2 linked regions of the Anolis sagrei genome follow. The protein of the gene in region 2 binds, or shares a complex with, the protein of the main gene of each other region. Links are inferred from orthologs where the notes say so. Each region holds a gene or a part of one and is shown on either strand. Other genes may lie near its edges.

What was found.
Region 1: the proteins of CAST (region 2) and calpain small subunit 1 are in contact, whole or in part, in a crystal structure (PDB 3BOW), measured with the Rattus norvegicus proteins. The link is inferred for Anolis sagrei from reciprocal best matches to the Homo sapiens genes CAST and CAPNS1. Residues at the interface, in NP_445747.2 of Rattus norvegicus: Pro652, Ile653, Asp654, Ala655, Leu656, Ser657, Asp659, Leu660, Asp661; in NP_058814.1 of Rattus norvegicus: Phe103, Leu106, Gln109, Leu110, Ile125, Lys128, Val129, Arg132, His133, Leu136, Phe166, Trp170, Lys174, Gln177, Lys181.

The regions. Positions count from the first base shown.
Region 1 is NC_090035.1:78,029,343-78,039,197, reverse strand, and holds the start of calpain small subunit 1, read right to left. Parts: upstream 3,988-9,855; 5' UTR 3,860-3,987; intron 1-3,859. UniProt on the Homo sapiens protein: Regulatory subunit of the calcium-regulated non-lysosomal thiol-protease which catalyzes limited proteolysis of substrates involved in cytoskeletal remodeling and signal transduction. Essential for embryonic development.
Region 2 is NC_090022.1:252,935,383-252,944,707, forward strand, and holds the start of CAST (calpastatin), read right to left. Parts: upstream 3,934-9,325; 5' UTR 3,650-3,933; coding exon 3,599-3,649; intron 1-3,598.

The sequences.
Region 1 (9,855 bases), on a different chromosome or scaffold from region 2:
TAATTTACAAAATCCAGCATATAGATCTAGTTTAATGTGACATACTGTGGTGTCAGAATAATAATAATAATAATAATTATTATTATTATAAATAGTATAATATTATTATTAATAATTATATAAATAATAAAAATAATATATAAAATCCAGCATATAGATCTCGTTTACTGTGACATACTGTGGTGTTAGTAAAATAATAATAATAATAATAACATTATGCATTTTGTACCCAAGCTACTAATAAATAATAATATATGAATAATAATATTAATAATAATATAAATGATAATACATAGTATAACAATAATAATAATAATAATAAAAATAATATAAAAAATCCAGCATATAGATCTCATTTACTGTGACATACTGTGGTGTCAGTATAATAATAATATATAGTATAATAATATTAATAATAATAATATAAATAATAATAATAATATACAAAATCCAGCATATAGATCTAGTTTATTGTGACATACTGTGGTGTCAGTATAATAATAATATATAGTATAATAATATTAATAATAATAATAATATAAATAATAATAATAATATACAAAATCCAGCATATAGATCTAGTTTATTGTGACATACTGTGGTGTCAGTATAATAATAATATATAGTATAATAATATTAATAATAATAATATAAATAATAATAATAATATACAAAATCCAGCATATAGATCTAGTTTATTGTGACATACTGTGGTGTCAGTATAATAATAATATATAGTATAATAATATTAATAATAATAATAATATAAATAATAATAATAATAATAATAATATACAAAATCCAGCATATAGATCTCATTTAATGTGACATATTGTGGTGTCAGAATAATAATAATATATAGTATAATAATATTAATAATAATAATAATATAAATAATAATAATAATAATAATAATATACAAAATCCAGCATATAGATCTCATTTACTGTGACATACTGTGGTGTCAGTGTAATAATAATAATAATAATAATAATAACCTTATACATTTTGTGCCCAAGCTACTAATAAATAATAATATATAGTGTAATATAAATAATAATAATAATAATAATATTACTGTGACATACTGTGGTGTCAGTATAATAATAATATATAGTATAATATTATTAATAATAAAAATGGATCTCATAAGTGAAATTTCAGAGTCTCGTGTTCAAAGCACAAGTGTTGCAAGACAAGGAAATCGTTCAGTGTAATTACAATGAATGTCTCTCCCACACACAAAGAAAACACAACTGTTTGCACACAGTTTGCATTGAGCTTTACTTTGGAACATGTTCATCGAAGCAGAAAACTAGGAATGAATAGGAACAGGTGGTTTAGTCGGTTGGGAGGGGGGGAAAGGGGATAATAATAATAATAATAATAATAAGCTGGCATTAATTAGCGATTGGGAAAAAAACAAGCGTAATTAGAAACCAGTGTAAATGCACCCTTTATTCTACCCCAAAGGGGGTTTTGGCATTTGGAAGTAAGATGCTTGCAATTCCCTAATTGCTTTTTATTGGCAACAGATTCCTCTCTGTTTGGCTAGTTCCTCGTTCCAAAATTATATGGCAACTTTGCAGAAAAAACTGGGATCTGCAGTTTTTTCTCTGTAGGATTTTCTGCCAAGGAGCCATCCACACTGGACAACAACAACAACAATAATAAAACTTTATTTATATTCCGTCCTATCTCACCAGGGGGACTCACTGCAGTTTGATACCACTCGAGCTGCCCTGACTCACTGCTCTGGATTCCTGGGAGTTGTCGTTTTGCAAGGCCTCTGGAGCCTTTCTGCAGAACGGTGCAAATTGCAAATCCCAGGGATCCATAGCATTGATTCATGGTCATTCAAGGGATATGAATCTGCATCGATTCTGCAATGTGTAGATCCTGCTTATGGTGATCCAAAGTCATAATGTAGTAATGCTATGTCATCTTGGGAGTTGTAGTTTGGTGAGGCAGCGAAATGGAGAGAGAAAGCTGGGTATAGGTAGTAATAACTCTATTAATTAATAATAATTCTAATAATATTCTATTAATAGAGTAATAATAATGCTAATAATAATAATAATTCTAGTAATGATTCTATTGATCACAATTATAATTCTATCAATAATAATTCCAAAATGACAACTCCCTGGATTCCATAGCCTTGAATCATGGCAGCCCAAGCGGTGCCAAAACCGCATTAGCTCTACAGTGTAGATGCCCCCTTTAAGATCTCTCTCAATGGGCGTGTTATATCAAAAAAGATCCAGGAAGAGGAAGCAGAAGGGAAGGGAGGAGCGGAAGCAGTGGAAAAAATACATGAGGGCAATCCCTTAGAAGAAGAACGGTATACAGTTGATCCTGTGGAGATCCAGTGGATCACAGGGAGATCCAGTGGAGCTGGAGCAAAGGAAGGGAAAACATCTCTTTGAAACTTGCTCCAGTAGATCCATGGTTTTCATTAAAATGGATCCAATGGACCACGTGGAGATCCAGAAGATCCCATATGGATCAAGTAGGTCTGTGGCAAAAAAAAGGAGGCGCCAGTAGAGGGGGGCAAATATATCTTTGAAACTTGATCCAGTAGCTCTGGCTTCATTGAAAAAAGAATTCGATCCAGCTGACCTATGGAGATGAAGTGGATCCCATGAAGATCATGTGGATCTTGCTGAGATCCTGTGGATCTGGAGCAAAAGGGGGCAACATCTCTTTGAAACTTGATCTGTGGGTTTCATTGAAAAGAAGAACTGGATGCTGTGGACCCCCCCCCCCAATAGAAATCCTGTGGATCATATAGATCCAGTAGGTCTGGAGCGAAATAGGAGGAACCAGCAGAGGGGTACGAGGATCTCTTTGAAACTTGGTTCAGTAGATCCGGCTTCATTATTTATTTATTTACATTATTTCTATCCCGCCCATTTCAGCCCGAAGGCGACTCAGGGTGGTATACACAGTTGGCCATTAGAAAAAAGGAACTGGATCCAGTTGACCCACGGAGATCCAGTTGATCCCATATGGGTACAGAAGAGTTGGAGTGAAAGGGAGGCACCAGTAGAGGGGGAACAGAGATCTCTCTTGAAAGTTTGATCCAGTAGACACCACCCCCCCCCCCCGTGTGGGGATCCAGTGGATCCACTAGACCTTGAGCGAAAAGGGAGGAAAAGATCTCTTAGGAACTTGGCACGGAGTTTTATAGCGGAAAGTAGCAACGGGGAGGGGGGAAGAGAATAAGGGATCCAGTGGATCCACTATATCTTGAGTGAAAAGGGAGGAAAAGATCTCTTAGAAACTTGGCACGGAGTTTTATGGTGGAAAGTAGCAACGGGGAGGGGGGAAGAGAATAAGGGATCCAGTGGGATCCACTAGATCTTGAGCGAAAGGGGAGGAAAAGATCTCTTAGGAACTTGGCATGGAGTTTTATAGCGGAAAGTAGCAACGGGGAGGGGGGAAGAGAATAAGGGATCCAGTGGGATCCACTAGATCTTGAGCGAAAAGGGAGGAAAAGATCTCTTAGGAACTTGGCACGGAGTTTTATAGCGGAAAGTAGCAACGTGTGGGGAGGGGGGGCGGAGAGAATAAAGATCCCACCAAGAGGCCCCAAAGTGGATGGGAAAAAAGGATCCCAATGGGATCCCTATATTTTAAAATATATATGAAAATAATCATAAAAGGGAAGGAATAAGATCCCATGATCTCTTAAAAAAAATAAGGGAAGGGAGACTCGAATTGGGCCCAGCAGAGGAAGTGGATTCCTTCCTTCTACTCTCATGGGAGGGGATCCCTTAGGAGATCTATGGATCCCAACTGGAGGAGAGGGAAAATGTGGTTAAGGGTGTGGGATCTTTCCCTTTCCCCCGCTTACCCGATTCCGAGCGGCTCTTGGTTGCTGCTTCTTCCTTTCCGGGCAGGCAGGCTGGCTTCCTTTCCGAGGAATCGACTGCTGCGGGATCCACCACGCCCGAGAGGAAGGCAGGCAGGCAATGCAGAGGGGAAGCCTTCCCCAGGCTCCCGCGCGGTCCTAGCGCCCGCCGGTTATCATTCCTTTGACTCTTAGGGCATCCCTGGGAGTTGTAGTTTGACTTTCTGGGATTTGCAGTTTGACTGTTAGGGCATCCCTGGGAGTTGGAGGTTGGCTTTCTGGGATTTGTAGTTTGGCTGTTAGGGCATCCCTGGGAGTTGTAGTTTGACTTTCTGGGATTTGTAGTTTGGCTGTTAGGGCATCCCTGGGAGTTGGAGTTTGACTTTCTGGGATTTGTAGTTTGACTGTTACGGCATCCCTGGGCGTTGTTGCTTGTTATGGCATCCCTAGGAGTTGTAGTTTGGCATTTATGATATCCCTGGGAGATGTAGTTTGACTGTTATGGCATCCCTAAGAGTTGTAGTTTGGCATTTATGACATCCCTGAGTTGTAGTGTGATTATTATGGCATCCCAAAAGTTATCGTTTGACTGTTAAGGTATCCTAAGTGTTATGGTTTGGCATTTGTGGCATCATGGGAGTTGTCCTTGACTATTATGGTGTCCCCGAGAGATGTAGTTAGACTGTTATGGCATCCCGGGAGTTGTAGTTTTAGTGTTATGTTATCCTTGAGAGTTGTAGCTTGTTATGGCATCCCTGGGAGTTGTAGTTCGATTCTTATGGCATCCCGGGAGTTGTAGTTTGAGTGTTACGGCATTCCAGGAGTTGTTGTTTCAGTGTTATGGTTTATCTGGGAGTTTTAGTTTGTTATGGTATCCCTCGAAGTTATAGTTTGACATTTATGGCACCCCTGGGAGTTGTAGTTTGACTGTCACGGCATTCCCTGAGAGTTGTAGTTTGACAAGGCTGTTCACCTTCTCCGCCAACGATTGCAAAGTGCAACTTCCAGAGATGCCCTCGCATTGAGCCCTGGCAGTTCCTCAACCCTGTTGATAGATGCACCGTTTGTTCTTCCAATTCTCAATTCCTTCCCTTATTTACGCTCTGCATCATTTGCATAAATGAATACTGGGGGGGGGGGGGGATGCCAGCTATGATTCAGCAGAGAGAGAGAAAGGAAGAGGACAAAGAATGCACATTTGAATAGATCCCTATCTCTATTGAAGTTAAAGGAAACAGGCCTCAGAATCCAAAGCCTGTCTCCACTGCAGAATTAATGCAGTTTGATGCCGGTTTTGTTTTGTTTTTGGTACCAATGATACCCATCATGAGTTTTGAATCTGCATTGCATTGCAACTCTATACATTGATATTCGTACCCTGTTTCTGATGTCGTGTGTTCGATCTATGCATTGGATTGTATGCATTTTATGTTTTGGCTTCATGCTGTTAGGAGAGCCGTGCAAACAATAAAATGCATATGTGTATACACACATACACACATATAATATATGTAAAATGTGTATACACACAGAAAACACATATACACAGACTGGGCCACAGCAACACGTGGCAAGGGACAGCTAGTAATTATATATTATTTCAAATCACAGGGCTCAATAGTATTGAATCCTGGGAGCTGTAGTTCTACAACAGGAATGGACAAACTGGGGCTCTCCAGGAGTTTTGGACTTCAACTCCCACACATTTATATAGATAATATACGCACATACACACACACACACACATATATAATACACACACACACATACACAATATAGATAGATAGATAGATAAATAGATAGACTTTGGAGCAAACTTGAGAAAACTATTTATTTAATTTATTTACAGCTTTTATATTCCGCCCTTCTCACCCCGCAGGGGACTCAGGGCGGATTACAGGGTACACATATAGGGCAAACATTCAATGACAATTTTTGACATACGAACATATACAGAGGCTATTTAACTTTTTTTTTATTGTGGCGCAGCTGGCTGAGTGTCAGCTGCATTAAGATCACTCTGACCAAAAGGTCATGAGTTCGAAGCCAGCCCGGGTTGGAGTGGGTTTCCAACAAATTGTGTGTAGCCTGTTGTCGACCTTTGCAACCCGAAAGACAGTTGCATCTGTCAAGTAGGAAAATAAGGTACCACCTTAAAAGTGTGGGGAGGCTAAATTAACTGATTTATGAGGCCATAAAGAAGACTCCAGCAAAGCATTCCAGCGGGGAAACATGCGGGGAATGCGGAAGTGCTTCATCAGCGTCGCAGATGGACGAGGAAAGCGACAGCTCCCTGGCGGCCAGAAAAAGTTAAATAGCCTCTGTGTATGTCTGTATATGTTTGTATGTCAAAAATTGGCATTGAATGTTTGCCATATATGTGTACACTGTAATCCACCCTGAGTCCCCTGCGGGGTGAGGAGGGCGGAATATAAAAGCTGTAAATAAATACATAAATAAAGTGTGTATATTTATATAGATGCCCCCCCCCCTCTCTCTATATATAGAGGGGGGGGCATCTATATAAATAAAAATGTAATGATTGTTTGTGGGATTAATGTAACTCAAAAACCACTGGATGATTTGACACCAAATTTGGACACATGACACCTCTCAGGCCAACGAGTGACCATCACTCATAAAAACACTGAAAAACACAATAGAAGGGACTTAAAAAACCAAAAAGTAAGAAATACATTACAATGCATGCACAAAACCACATATATACACATATACACAAATAAATACACATACAAACACATATACACAGACTGGGCCACAGCAACACGTGGCAGGGGACAGCTAGTAATTATATATTATTTCAACTCCCAGGGCTCAATAGTATTGAATCCTGGGAGTTGTAGTTCTACAATAGGAATGGAGAGTTGAAGTCCAAAACTCCTGGAGGGCATAAATTGGCCCATGTCTAGTCTACACTGCCGAATACTCCAGTTCAATGCAGATACTCTGCATTGTATATGGCAGTGTAGAAGGGGCCCCAGCCTCTGTTCCCCATAGTTTATCTAAGGCGGAGAAAGGTCTTGCTCCATTGATCTTCTGCAAATATATATATATTTCTTGCAGCTCTTCCTGGTTTTGAACCTGCTTTGCCAGTTTGGGATGAAAAGGATCTTCAGCTCCAGAGGCCGAGAAAAAATCCCAGGCCAGTCTGATTCAGATCAAAGGAATGCTTCTGTGTCAAGGCCCCAGAGAAAGGAAAGGGGAAGGCACACCCAATTGCAGGAAATATGACTCCAGGAGGTGTGTGCATCTACACTGTGGAATTGATGCAGATTGAATCCGGTTTAACTTCCAATGCCTCCGTTCCATAGAATCCTGGGATTCTTTGGTAGAGAAGCCTCAAATCCATATACATAATATATAATAATAATATTATATAATAATATATTATACATGCTATACAATATTAATAATATTGCAACCTAATATAATAATATATAGAAAGAATAACATTGTAATGTAATAATACGAATAGATATAATGTTACTAATAATATTGCAATGTAATAATATTGCAACATAATATAACATATAGAAAGAATAACATTGCGATATAATACTAATAGATATAATATTACTAATAATATTGCAATGTAATAATATAACGCAATAATATGTAATACTAATGTTATGCTATACTAATGTTACATATTATCTATAATATAATATAATACAGTATAATATACAATACTAAAATTATGTTTTACTAATAGTATTTTAGATATTTATAACACTACTTATAATACAGTATAATCTATAATATTAATATCATGTTATACTAATAATATATTAGATATTATTCATAATATTACTTATAATACAGTATAATGTATAATACTAATATTATGGTATACTAATAATATATTAGATATTATCTATAAAACTACTTATAATATAATACAGTATAACATACAATATTAAAATTATGTTTTACTAATAATATCTTAGATATTTATAATACTACTTATAATACAGTATAATATATAATACTAATATCATGTTATACTAATAATATAGTAGATATTATTTATAATACTACTTATAATATAAAACAGTAAAATATATAATACTAATATTATGCTATACTAATAATGTATTAGATATTATCTATAACACTACTTATAATATAATACAGTGTAATATATAATACTAATATTATGCTATACTAATAATATTCTAGGCGCAAAGATGAGTGCAGATGCAGACTGTGGCCAGGAAATCAGGAGATGCTTCCTTCTTGGGAAGGAGAGCAATGTCCAATCTCGATAAAATAGTCAAGAGTAGAGACATCAGACTGGCAACCAAGATCCATTGCCTAGTCCAAGCCATGGTCTTCCCTGTAGTCACCTATGGAGGTGAGAGCTGGACCTGAGGGAAGGCTGAGCGAAGGACGAGAGATGCTTTTGAGCTGTGGTGATGGAGGAAAGTGCTGAGAGTGCCTTGGACTGCGAGAAGATCCAACCAGTCCATCCTCCAGGAAAGAAAGCCCGGCTGCTCACTGGAGGGAAGGAGACGAGAGACAAAGTGGAAGTCCTTTGGCCACATCATGAGGAGACAGCCAAGCCTAGAGAAGGGAATGATGCTGGGGAAAGTGGAAGGCAAAAGGAAGAGGGGCCAACCAAGGGCAAGATGGATGGATGGCATCCTTGAAGTGACTGGACTGACCTGGAAGGGGCTGCGGGTGGTGACGGCCGACAGGGAGCTCTGGCATGGACTGGTCCATGAGGTCACGAAGAGTCGGAGACGACTGAACGAATGAACAACAACAACAATACTAATAATATATTAGATATTAGCTATAATACTACCTATAAAATAATACGGTATAATATATAATATTAATATCATGTTATACTAATAATATATTAGATATTATTTATAATATTACTTATAATACAGTATAATGTATAATACTAATATTATGCTATACTAATAATATATTAGATATTATTTATAGTACTAATAATATAATACTGTATAATAGATAATACTAATATTGTGCTATACTGATATTATGGAATATTATACTAATATTATGGAATATATTGTATATATTATATAATAGATTATATTTTATAACATAATAGTATTATATATAATATACCAATATTACATTAGTATATAATATAATATTATATACTAACGTTACGGAATATAAATGCTGTAAATAATAAATAGTGATAAATAGAGTAATAATGTATTAGATATTATCTATAATACTACTTATAAAATAATACAGTATAATATTTAATACTAATATTATGCTGTACTAAAATATATTGTATAATACAGTATAATATATAATAGTAATATCATGTTATACTAATAATATATTACATATTATTTATAATATTACTTAAAATATAATACAGTATAATATATAATACTAATATTATGCTATACTAAAAATGTATTAGATATTATCTATAATACTACTTACAATATAGTATAATATAAAATACTAATATTATGCTGTACTAAAAATATATTGTATAATATAGTATAATATATAATGCTAATATCATGCTATACTAATAATATATTAGATATTATTTATAATATTACTTAAAATATAATACAGTATAATATAGAATACTAATATCATGTTATACTAATAATATATTAGATATTATTTATAATATTTCTTAAAATATAATAGAGTATAATTGTTGTTGTTCATTCGTTCAGTCGTCTCCGACTCTTCGTGACCTCATGGACCAGCCTACGCCAGAGCTCCCTGTCGGCCGTTACCACCCCCAGCTCCCTCAAGGTCAGTCCAGTCACTTCAAGGATGCCATCCATCCATCTTGCCCTTGGTCGCCCCCTCTTCCTTTTGCCTTCCACTTTCCCCAGCATAATTGTCTTCTCTAGGCTTTCCTGTCTCCTCATGATGTGGCCAAAGTACTTCAACTTTGTCTCCAGTATCTTTCCCTCCAGTGAGCAGTCGGGCTTTATTTCCTGGAGGATGGACTGGTTGGA
Region 2 (9,325 bases):
CAACAACAAACCCAGCAATATGCAAAAACTCTGGCACAAGCCTGTAAAAGTGGTCCCAGTGGTGATCGGCACACTGGGTGCAGTGCCTAAAGACCTTGGCCTGCACTTAAAAACAATCAGCGCTAACAAAATTACAATCTGTCAGCTGCAAAAGGCCACCCTTCTTGGATCTGCACGCATTATTTGCCATCCTACTACTTCATCAAGCTAGAGAATGAATCCACTTTAAATCCGGTTTCGGCCTCCTGCAGAATTTTGGGGTTTGTAGTTTAGTGCGGCTGTTAAAGGCTCCTCCCTAGACACTGGAGAAGTGTCCAATGTGTGATCGAATATAAAAGCCAGCATAGCGATCTTGTTTGCTGTGTACTAATCTTGTGTATCAAATTATAATAAATTGGAAATGACCAAGGAATACAACAGCAAGCCCAGCAATGTGTAGAAGACCTCACTGTGATCTGGATATACATATAGTAATCATCACCTATAGTCCTTAAAAGGAAGGTGGGAACTACCATGTTCTTTTTTCCCATTTCATTACGTTCATCTACAGATCCACTTACCAGTGGCCAGACTAGATAGATCGAATGAGAGTTTAAGAAAAACACAAACAAATATAGGACATTTGTAGCTGTCCAGTTGTTGGGCTGTTTGTTTTTTGGACACTGAGTCCCATCAGATCTATTCTAGCCTCATCTTCCAGATACTTGGTGGCACACCCACACTGACCACTTAGGCCACTGTGAAACCAGCCGAGAAGGAAGTGGTTCCAATTTCCAGATGACGACATATGAAGTCCAGCTTTTAAGCCTGGATGGTGCTTATACACATATGCAATGCAGAGGCTGACCTCGAACCAGTTAAAGATCCACAAGATCTATGACTTCACAACTGCGGAGGGCTCTGCCAATCTGTGCTGACTGACAGAGCCCTCAATCGGTTTCGCCATGCAATGCGATGTACACTCAGGCATGCTGAAGTGTGTTAAGGGCTCTATTTCGGAGTATGCTCTGACTTTCCTTATCTCAGGGTGCATCTACGTATGTGCAATCTTGTACATTGTAGATTGAATGCGGTTTGACACATCTTTAACAGCCATAGCTCAGTCTGGGCAATTATAGTTTTCTTGGTTCAAGAATGCTAGCGCCTCCCTAAGTGACCACTCCACAGCATTGAATAACAGCAGTTCAAGTGGAGCCAAACGGCATTCATTGTACAAATCTAGCATGGGCAAACTTGGGCCCTCCAGGTGTTTTGGACTTCAACTCCCACAATTCCTAACAGCCACTTGGCTGTTAGGAATTGTGGGAGTTGAAGTCCAAAACACCTGGAGGGCCCAAGTTTGCCCATGCCTGATATAGATGCATCCTTGATTTAAAGCCCTTGAAGTGAGCTGCAAGGCATGCACCATAAACACTGTACTATCCAGCTGCCTTCAAACTGCATTAAACGGTCATCATAGATGTGGACATCAAGGAGCCGCTGTGGTGCAATGGGTCAAACTGCTGACCTGAAGGTTGGTGGTTTGAATCCACGAGATGGAGTGAGCTTCAATCTGTCAGCCCCAGCTTCCCATCTGGGGACATGAGAGAAGTCTCCCACAGGATGGTAACACATCCGGCTGTCCCCTGGGCAACGTCCATGCAGACAGTCAATTCTCTCACACCAGAAGTGACTTGAAGTATATTCTCTATTTGCTTCTGACACAATAATTAAAAAAATAAATGTGGACTCCCAGAAGCTCCAGCCCAGTTGGAAGATTATCAGGAATTTGGGAGTCCAAGGCACCAGGAGGACAAAACTTTGGAATCTGCGAATTTTTATCCAGGCAGTGGATTTGGTTCAGAGGACATTCAAAATATCTGGAGGGGCCTGAAGTCTGTCACCTCATCCTTTCCACATTCAATCTGGCATGGATAGACATGACACAGGGCCCCATTCCCACATCTTTAGGTGCAGGATTGTAGGAGATGAGAGATTCCACAATGCAGAGCCCTGTACATCCCCAAACCCACCTATAACATGCATTTACCACCTATAACAGCATTTATCAAGCTGGGGGGTTGGGACCCCTGGGGGGTTGTGAAGGGGTATCAAAGGGGACCATAGGAAAACAGTAGTTTCTGTTGGTCATGGGAGTTCTGTGTGGGAAGTTTGGCCCAATTCTATCATTGGTGGGGTTCAAGAGGCTCTTTGATTGTAGGTGAACTATAAATCCCAGCAACTACAACTCCCAAATGTCCAGGTCTGTTTTCCCCAAACTGCACCAGTGTTCACATTTGTGCATATTGAGTATTTTTGCTATGTTTGGTCCAGAGCCATCATTGCTTGAGTCCACAGTGCTCTCTGCATGTAGATAAACTACAACTTCAATAGGTGCCCACCAAACCCTTCCAGTATTTTTTGTCAGTCATGGGAGTTCTGTGTGCCAAGTTTGGTTCAATGTCATCATTGGTGGAGTTCAAAATGCTCTTTGATTGTAGGTGAATTATAAATCCCAGCAACTATAACTCCCAAATGACAAAACCAATCCCTTTCCAACCACACCGGTATTCAAATTTGGGCGTATCGGGTATTTATGCCAAATTTTGTTCAGTGAATATCCTGCATATCAGATATTTACATTACGATTCATAACAGTAGCAAAATTACAGTTATGAAGTAGCAATGAAAATAATTTTATGGTTGGGAGTCGCCACAACATGAGGAACTGTATTAAGAGTTCAGGGCATTAGGAAGGTTGAGAACCACTGACCTATAACATGCATTTAGGGATGCATTTATTACACTGTAAAACAGGCGTGGGCAAACTTCGGCCCTCTGGGTGTTTTGGACTTCAACTCCCACAATTCCTAACAGCTGATACGCTGTTGGAATTGTGGGAGTTGAAGTCCAAAACACCCGGAGGGCCGAAGTTTGCCCATGCCTGCTGTAGAATCAGTTTGACACTACTTGAATTGCCAGGACTCAATGTTATGCAATGTCAATATTCAGTAACAGCTTTATTTATTTATTTAATGACTATATGGTTTGACAATCTTGCTTATATTGTTTTTAATTCAATTTATGGTTTTTAAATTATTGTTATAATTCTTTATATTGTTTGTTTGTTGCGGCATTGAATCGTTGCCGGTGTAAGCCGCCCTGAGTTGAGAAAAGACTGGATAGAAATACTGGAAATGAATAATAATAATAATAATAATAATAATAATAATAATGTATTGCTTTAGATTTACAATCCCAATGTATTGTATGGATAGGAAATAATTAGGCATTAAGACATTTAACTTTCAGGAAAACGTTTTCAAAAAGTTACCTAACTTTGGGGACTTTTGGCCCACCCTGCAGTTTAGGGAGGAAGAAGGGAAAAGAGGAAGACAACTGCCACGATCCTACAGCACTGAGCCAGGGCAGCTCAAGTGGTATCGAAGCGCATTAACTGAGCAGTGCAGGCGCACTCAAGTTCTCTGCCTTGGAGCGCTGCCCGTCCCAGCCCAGCCCAGCGAGTGGGCAGATCTCTGCCTCTGACACAGGCACAAAAGCCTTCAAATCCCCGCAAGAGGAGCCGCGGAGAGCCCCGTCCCTCCCCGCTCGCACTCACCGTCTTGCCAGCCTTGGCGGCGTGTTTCTTTCCCTTCGTGGGCTGCGACATGGTGGCTGCGTGTGCTCCTTCTTCTGGGCCTGCTTAGGGTGCCAAAGGGAGAGGCGGAGGAGGAGGAGGAGGAGGGCAGCGGCGGTGAGGCAGCTTTTCCGACGGAGCCCCCCGTCGCTCCCCTCCAGTGCCCAGGCCAGCTGCGGAGCCACCCAAGTCCCTCCTCTTCCTGCAGAGAGAAACTCCCACCCAGCCCCGCATTCCTGGGGCCCGCCGGGTTTCGTGGGCCGGAGGGAGGAGTGGAAGGGCCAGGAGGACACCCCCAAAGGCGGGCTGGGCACCAGGCTCCTTGTTTGCCAAGACACGCTTGAGACTTAGGCAAACTCCCGGAGCCCTTTTAGGGGAGGTTCCGTTGCCTCTTGTTTGGAGAGAGCTTAAAAGCCCATCTATCACTCAAAACTTTGGGACAGAGCCGAACCGCCTCGCCCTTCGGATTGCTCCTTTGGCCAGCCCGGGCTTTCGGCCTGCTCTCTCTTATCAGGCACAACAAGGTTTCCTCATCATTAGAGCCAGTAATCGTAGATAAAGAGTCTGAACACACAGTCTGAAGCATCAACCTACAAGTCCAAAGCACACAAGTTATTTTTGCTCTATGGCTGTTGTTGTGTGGCTTCCCATAGCCAAGCACTAACTCAGGGTGCAGCTACACCAGGCATGGACAAACTTCGGCTCTCCAGGTGTTTTGGACTTCAACTCCCACCATTCCTATCAGCCGTCTCAGGACCAGGCATGTAGCCGGGCCGGGGGGGGGGGGGGGGCTTGAGGGGCTTCAGCCCCCCCCCCCCCTCCGAAATGCTCATGGTGGTTCGCGAAAAGGCCTTACTGGTGCATTATTTAAACTGTTATGTTTATTCATATAATGATCTGATCACCATGCTCAATATATCCCACATGCATGGGGGGGGGGGGGTATTGGGGTAATGATACAAAAGGTTTGCTAGAATAGACCCTCTTTCAGTCAGACTCAGCCCCCCCGAACCCCTCCCCCTTGAAAAAAACTCAGCCCCCCCCCCCCCCCCCAATCGAAATCCTGGCTACAGGCCTGCTCAGGACCCTTCCTTTTTCCCCTTCAGGCAAAGAAGCAGGTAGTGAAAACAGAAGAATGGCCTGCCTTGAAAGCGTGCTTGTTCCATCAGTGTTTAACATTTACACAAATGATCAGCCACTGCCAGATGGAACAGAGTTTAATCTATGCTGATGATTGTGCCATCACCACCCAAGAAAGGAGCTTTGTAATGGTTGAACAGAAGCTCTCCGAAGCTTTAGGTGCTCTTACTGCCTATTACTGTTGGAGTTCAGCCTGTGATTGTGTCTAATGATCAGGGTAGTCTGGATGTTGGGAATGACAATGAGGTTCTAATGATGAGGTTGCTATTGATGCAGAGAATGACAATGGGATTCCTGTTCAAAGTTAACGATGGCACAAATGTGTAAAAATGGATGGTGACTATGTTGAACGGTCGTTTTGTGTAGAGGACAGTTCAGGCTATGGTCTGTAGCAACCTCTGCTATTATATGTTCATTCATAATGTTTTTATGTCATGGGAGGCAAAACGTTTTGACCCACCCGCGTACTATAAAAGTTAATGCCGGCATTTTGAATTGATTTCCAACACAGACAGGCAACCTGTGCATCTTTTTGAAGACTCTCACAGTGAAAGAACATCTAGAAAAAATATTCCCAAGGCAGTTTACAATAAATATTTTAATGCATTCTGTTATAATTATAAAACAATAACTTAAGCCATAAAAACAATAATTTCCCAATTATTTAATGAGAGCCTAGAGGAATAATAGCAGAAGAGTATTTCCTTCCTGTTGAGAGAGAGAGAGAGCAAGAAAAAAATAAGAGCAAGCAAGACTGCCGTATATATTTAAGTATAAGCTGGATATTTCAGCTCTTTTTTTAGGCTGAAAAAGCCCCCCTCGGCTTATACTCGAGTAAATGTTATTTATGATTTTACTCTGTTGTTGTTATTTTACTCTTTATTATTATTATTATTATTATATTGAATTTCTTATTTTATTCTATTATTATTATTACATTTATTATTTTACTGTATTTTACTGTTTTTATTACATTTCCATTATTTTACTGTATTACTGTTATTTTTATTACATTTATTATTTATATTATTATTATTGGAAGGATACATAAGCACATTTACATTTAAGAAGAAGAATGGTTTAATCAGAGCTGGACAGTCTTATCTTAAATTACAGTTTTATGTAAATATTCAAAAACATTTAACCTGCTGATGCCTCAATTAATGTAATTTTATTGGTCTCTATTTTTATTTTGAAATTTACCAGTAGCTGCTGCATTTCCCAGACTCAGCTTATAACCGAGTCAATACGTTTCCCCAATTTTCTTTGGTAAAACTAGGTGTCTCGGCTTATATTTGAATCGACTTATACTCGAGTATATATGGTATATCGATCTCTTGAAGAATTATACCCGATACCTGTAATAATAACAACCAAAACAACACAGAACAACAAATCATAATACAAAAACAAAAGGATTTGGGCCATTAACTGGAAAAGATTTTCACAAATTTGCCTACAAATGTAACTGTTGAATTTGAATTAGAGACTTGAAACCTGTAGCTCATGCTCTTAAGTACTGCACTGATTAACTGGTATACAGTGAAGAAATGTAGAGAAGGCAATAGAAGAAAAGGTGTGCCTTACTTGAAACAGATGACTTGTATTTTTGTGTGTATTTCAATTTTAAGCAATGCCTGAATCTCACCAATCAACTGGTCTAACTAGACTATACTGCATTCCTAAGGGTTCAATGCACAGGATACTAGTCCTTACTATAAAGGCTGCAAAAATGTGGAAAGGAAGGCTTCATTCTCCTCAATAAGAATAATGAAATAAAATGGAGAAAAGCTTTCAGGATTCCCTGGACAGTCTTATCTTAAATGACAGAGCAGTGGTTCTCAACCTTCCTAATGCTGTGACCTCTTAATACAGTTCCTCATGTTGTGGTGACCCCCAACCATAAAATTATTTTCATTGCTACTTCATAACTGTAATTTTGCTACTATTATGAAATGTAATGTAAATATCTGATATGCAGGATGTATTTTCATTCACTGGACCAAATTTGGCACAAATACCCAATACATTCAAATTTGGATATTGATGGGGTTGGCAGGGATTGATTTTGTCATTTGGGAGTTATAGTTGCTGGGATTTATAGTTAACCTACAATAAAAGAGCATTCTGAACACTACCAATGATGGAATTGAACCAAACTTGGCATACGGAGTTCTCACTGCCAACAGAAAATACTGGTAGGGTTTGGTGGATATTGACCTTGAATTTTGGAGTTGTAGTTCACCTGAATCCAGAGAGCAGTGTGGATGCAAACAATGATGGGTCTGGTCCAAACTTGGCACAAATACTCAATATGTCCAAATGTGAACACTGGTGGAGTTTGGAGAAAATAGACCTTGACATTTGGGAGTTGTAGTTGCTGGGATTTATAGTTCACCTACAATCAAAGAGCATTCTGCACCCCACCAACAATAGAATTGGGCCAAAATTCCCACATAGAACTCCCATAACCAACAGAAAATACTGTGTTTTCTGATGGTCTTTAGCGATCCCTCTGACACCCCCTCGCAATCCCCCCAGGGGTCCCGAGCCCCAGGTTGAGAAACGCTGCCTTAGAGCCACTGGTTTCTAGACCAGAAAAGTAGTCTTTTTGCTCTCAAGCAAGTATGCCAAATGTCCATTCTCAATGAAGATTTATTTATTTATTTACTTACTTACTTACTTATTTATTTATTTACCTTACTTATATACCGCTGTTCTCAGGCCGAAGGCGACTCACAGCGGTTCACAACAAATATGAACAAATATACACTTGTATACCGCTCTTCTCAGCCCTCAGGCGACTCAGAGCGGTTAACAACCAATTCAACAGTACAAAACAGATCATTAGTCAATTAAAACAGCAATATCAATTAATTAACATCAAAACATCAATACAACAATAAACACTAGATTTCTTCTAGTGCAGTAGTTCCCAGCCTTTGGTCCTTCACTTGTTTTGGACTTCAACTCTCAGATATCCCAGCCAGCTTACCAGCTGTTAGGAACTGTGGAAGCTGAAGTCCAAAAAACCTTGAGGACCAAAGGTTGGGAATCATTATTCTAGTGGAAACTATATTTTTTATCTCCAGTAACTGAAAAAATGTTTGAAATTAAATATGTTTCAGAAGGTTGGCCATTTGTGTTTGGTCCAACAAAACAAGAAGCCCCTTGTATACCTTTAAGAATAATACTATAATTCCATATCCTCCAGTTTTTCATAGATGAAAACTAAGACATATGTGGCCGAGAAACATCACAGTGTGTTTATGATGACAAAGGTTGCAGCGGTTTGCTTTTGCCTGAATCCACTGGGAAGGGCAAGATTCTTCCCCTTCCTTCTCTTTTCCCTGTAAATTGACTGAATGTGAACTACTTTTGGATTTGAAACTCAGTTTTTAGCAATCAAAGTAAGCTGAAGATAAAGGAGGAGAGCAGAATGAGATAAAAAAATCTAGGATGTTTTAGAAGCAGCTGAAAAGGGGAGACAGATAATTGGGATTGTCCATGCTAGATTAGGACAGTTGGAGAATCTATCCAATTCCCTGTGACATACATATGTAAAAGTAAGCCTTGTTGCCACATTTAAGTGCCATGAGTATATAGAACCACTGTGTTATTTTAATATAAACCTTTGTGGACTAGAGACAGATGCACACAAACACAAGTAGAGGAAGGGAGGATAAAATGAGGACAAATGGCAGTAAAATTCAAATCCTAATTATTTAAGATTATAATAAAAATGAGGTGAGGCAAACTGGATGCTTACATTTAAGTACAGACTTAAGTCTGGTGTTTATTTGAGGATGAAATTCTTAGTTGTCTAAATGTCAGAACTGTTCTTTCACTTCAGACAAAACCAACTCAGGAATAGCTATAGAAGCCAGGTCAAGATAATCCAAGGATTTAAAACCAGGTGGTCCCCATGGGAAGCACATGTCCAGGCAGGGACAATTCCAAATGCAAGGTCACCCAGCAGGAAATGCAAGGGCATCCTGTGTAGATGAAATGTACATTCTCAGCTGAAATGCAGGTATTATTCTAGTAACCACTCCCAGCACAGGCCTGTGGTTTAATACAACCTGAGTTCCCAAACTCCCAACAAGAGCAATGCTGCAGGCGACTGCAAGCTATCAGGCATAAGTAGCACATGAGGAATGGTGCCAGATCTCCTGGGATGAATTCCATCTTGCATGCCATCAATCAATAGTACTATATTAAGACGGTCATCTTGTGGTGCATCTACACTGTTGAATTAATGCAGTTAGGCACCACTTTAACTATGAAATTATAGGATTTGTAATTTGAGGAGGCACTGGTACTCTTGGGCAGAAGAAAGCTAAAGACCTTGTAAAACTGCAACTTCCAAGAAGTTGCTATCTTGGACATACATGCAACCGTGTTTTAGGGTACAGATTTGTGATCCAATACCTTCTAAAACTGTAACTAAATGTAAACATTGTTATGGATAATACCCTTTATCTTGCAGATTAGGAACAGAGTGTGATATGCATTACCTGCCTTCTACTCCAGTTTCCTATAAGGAATGGGTACTTTTTAAATTATTCC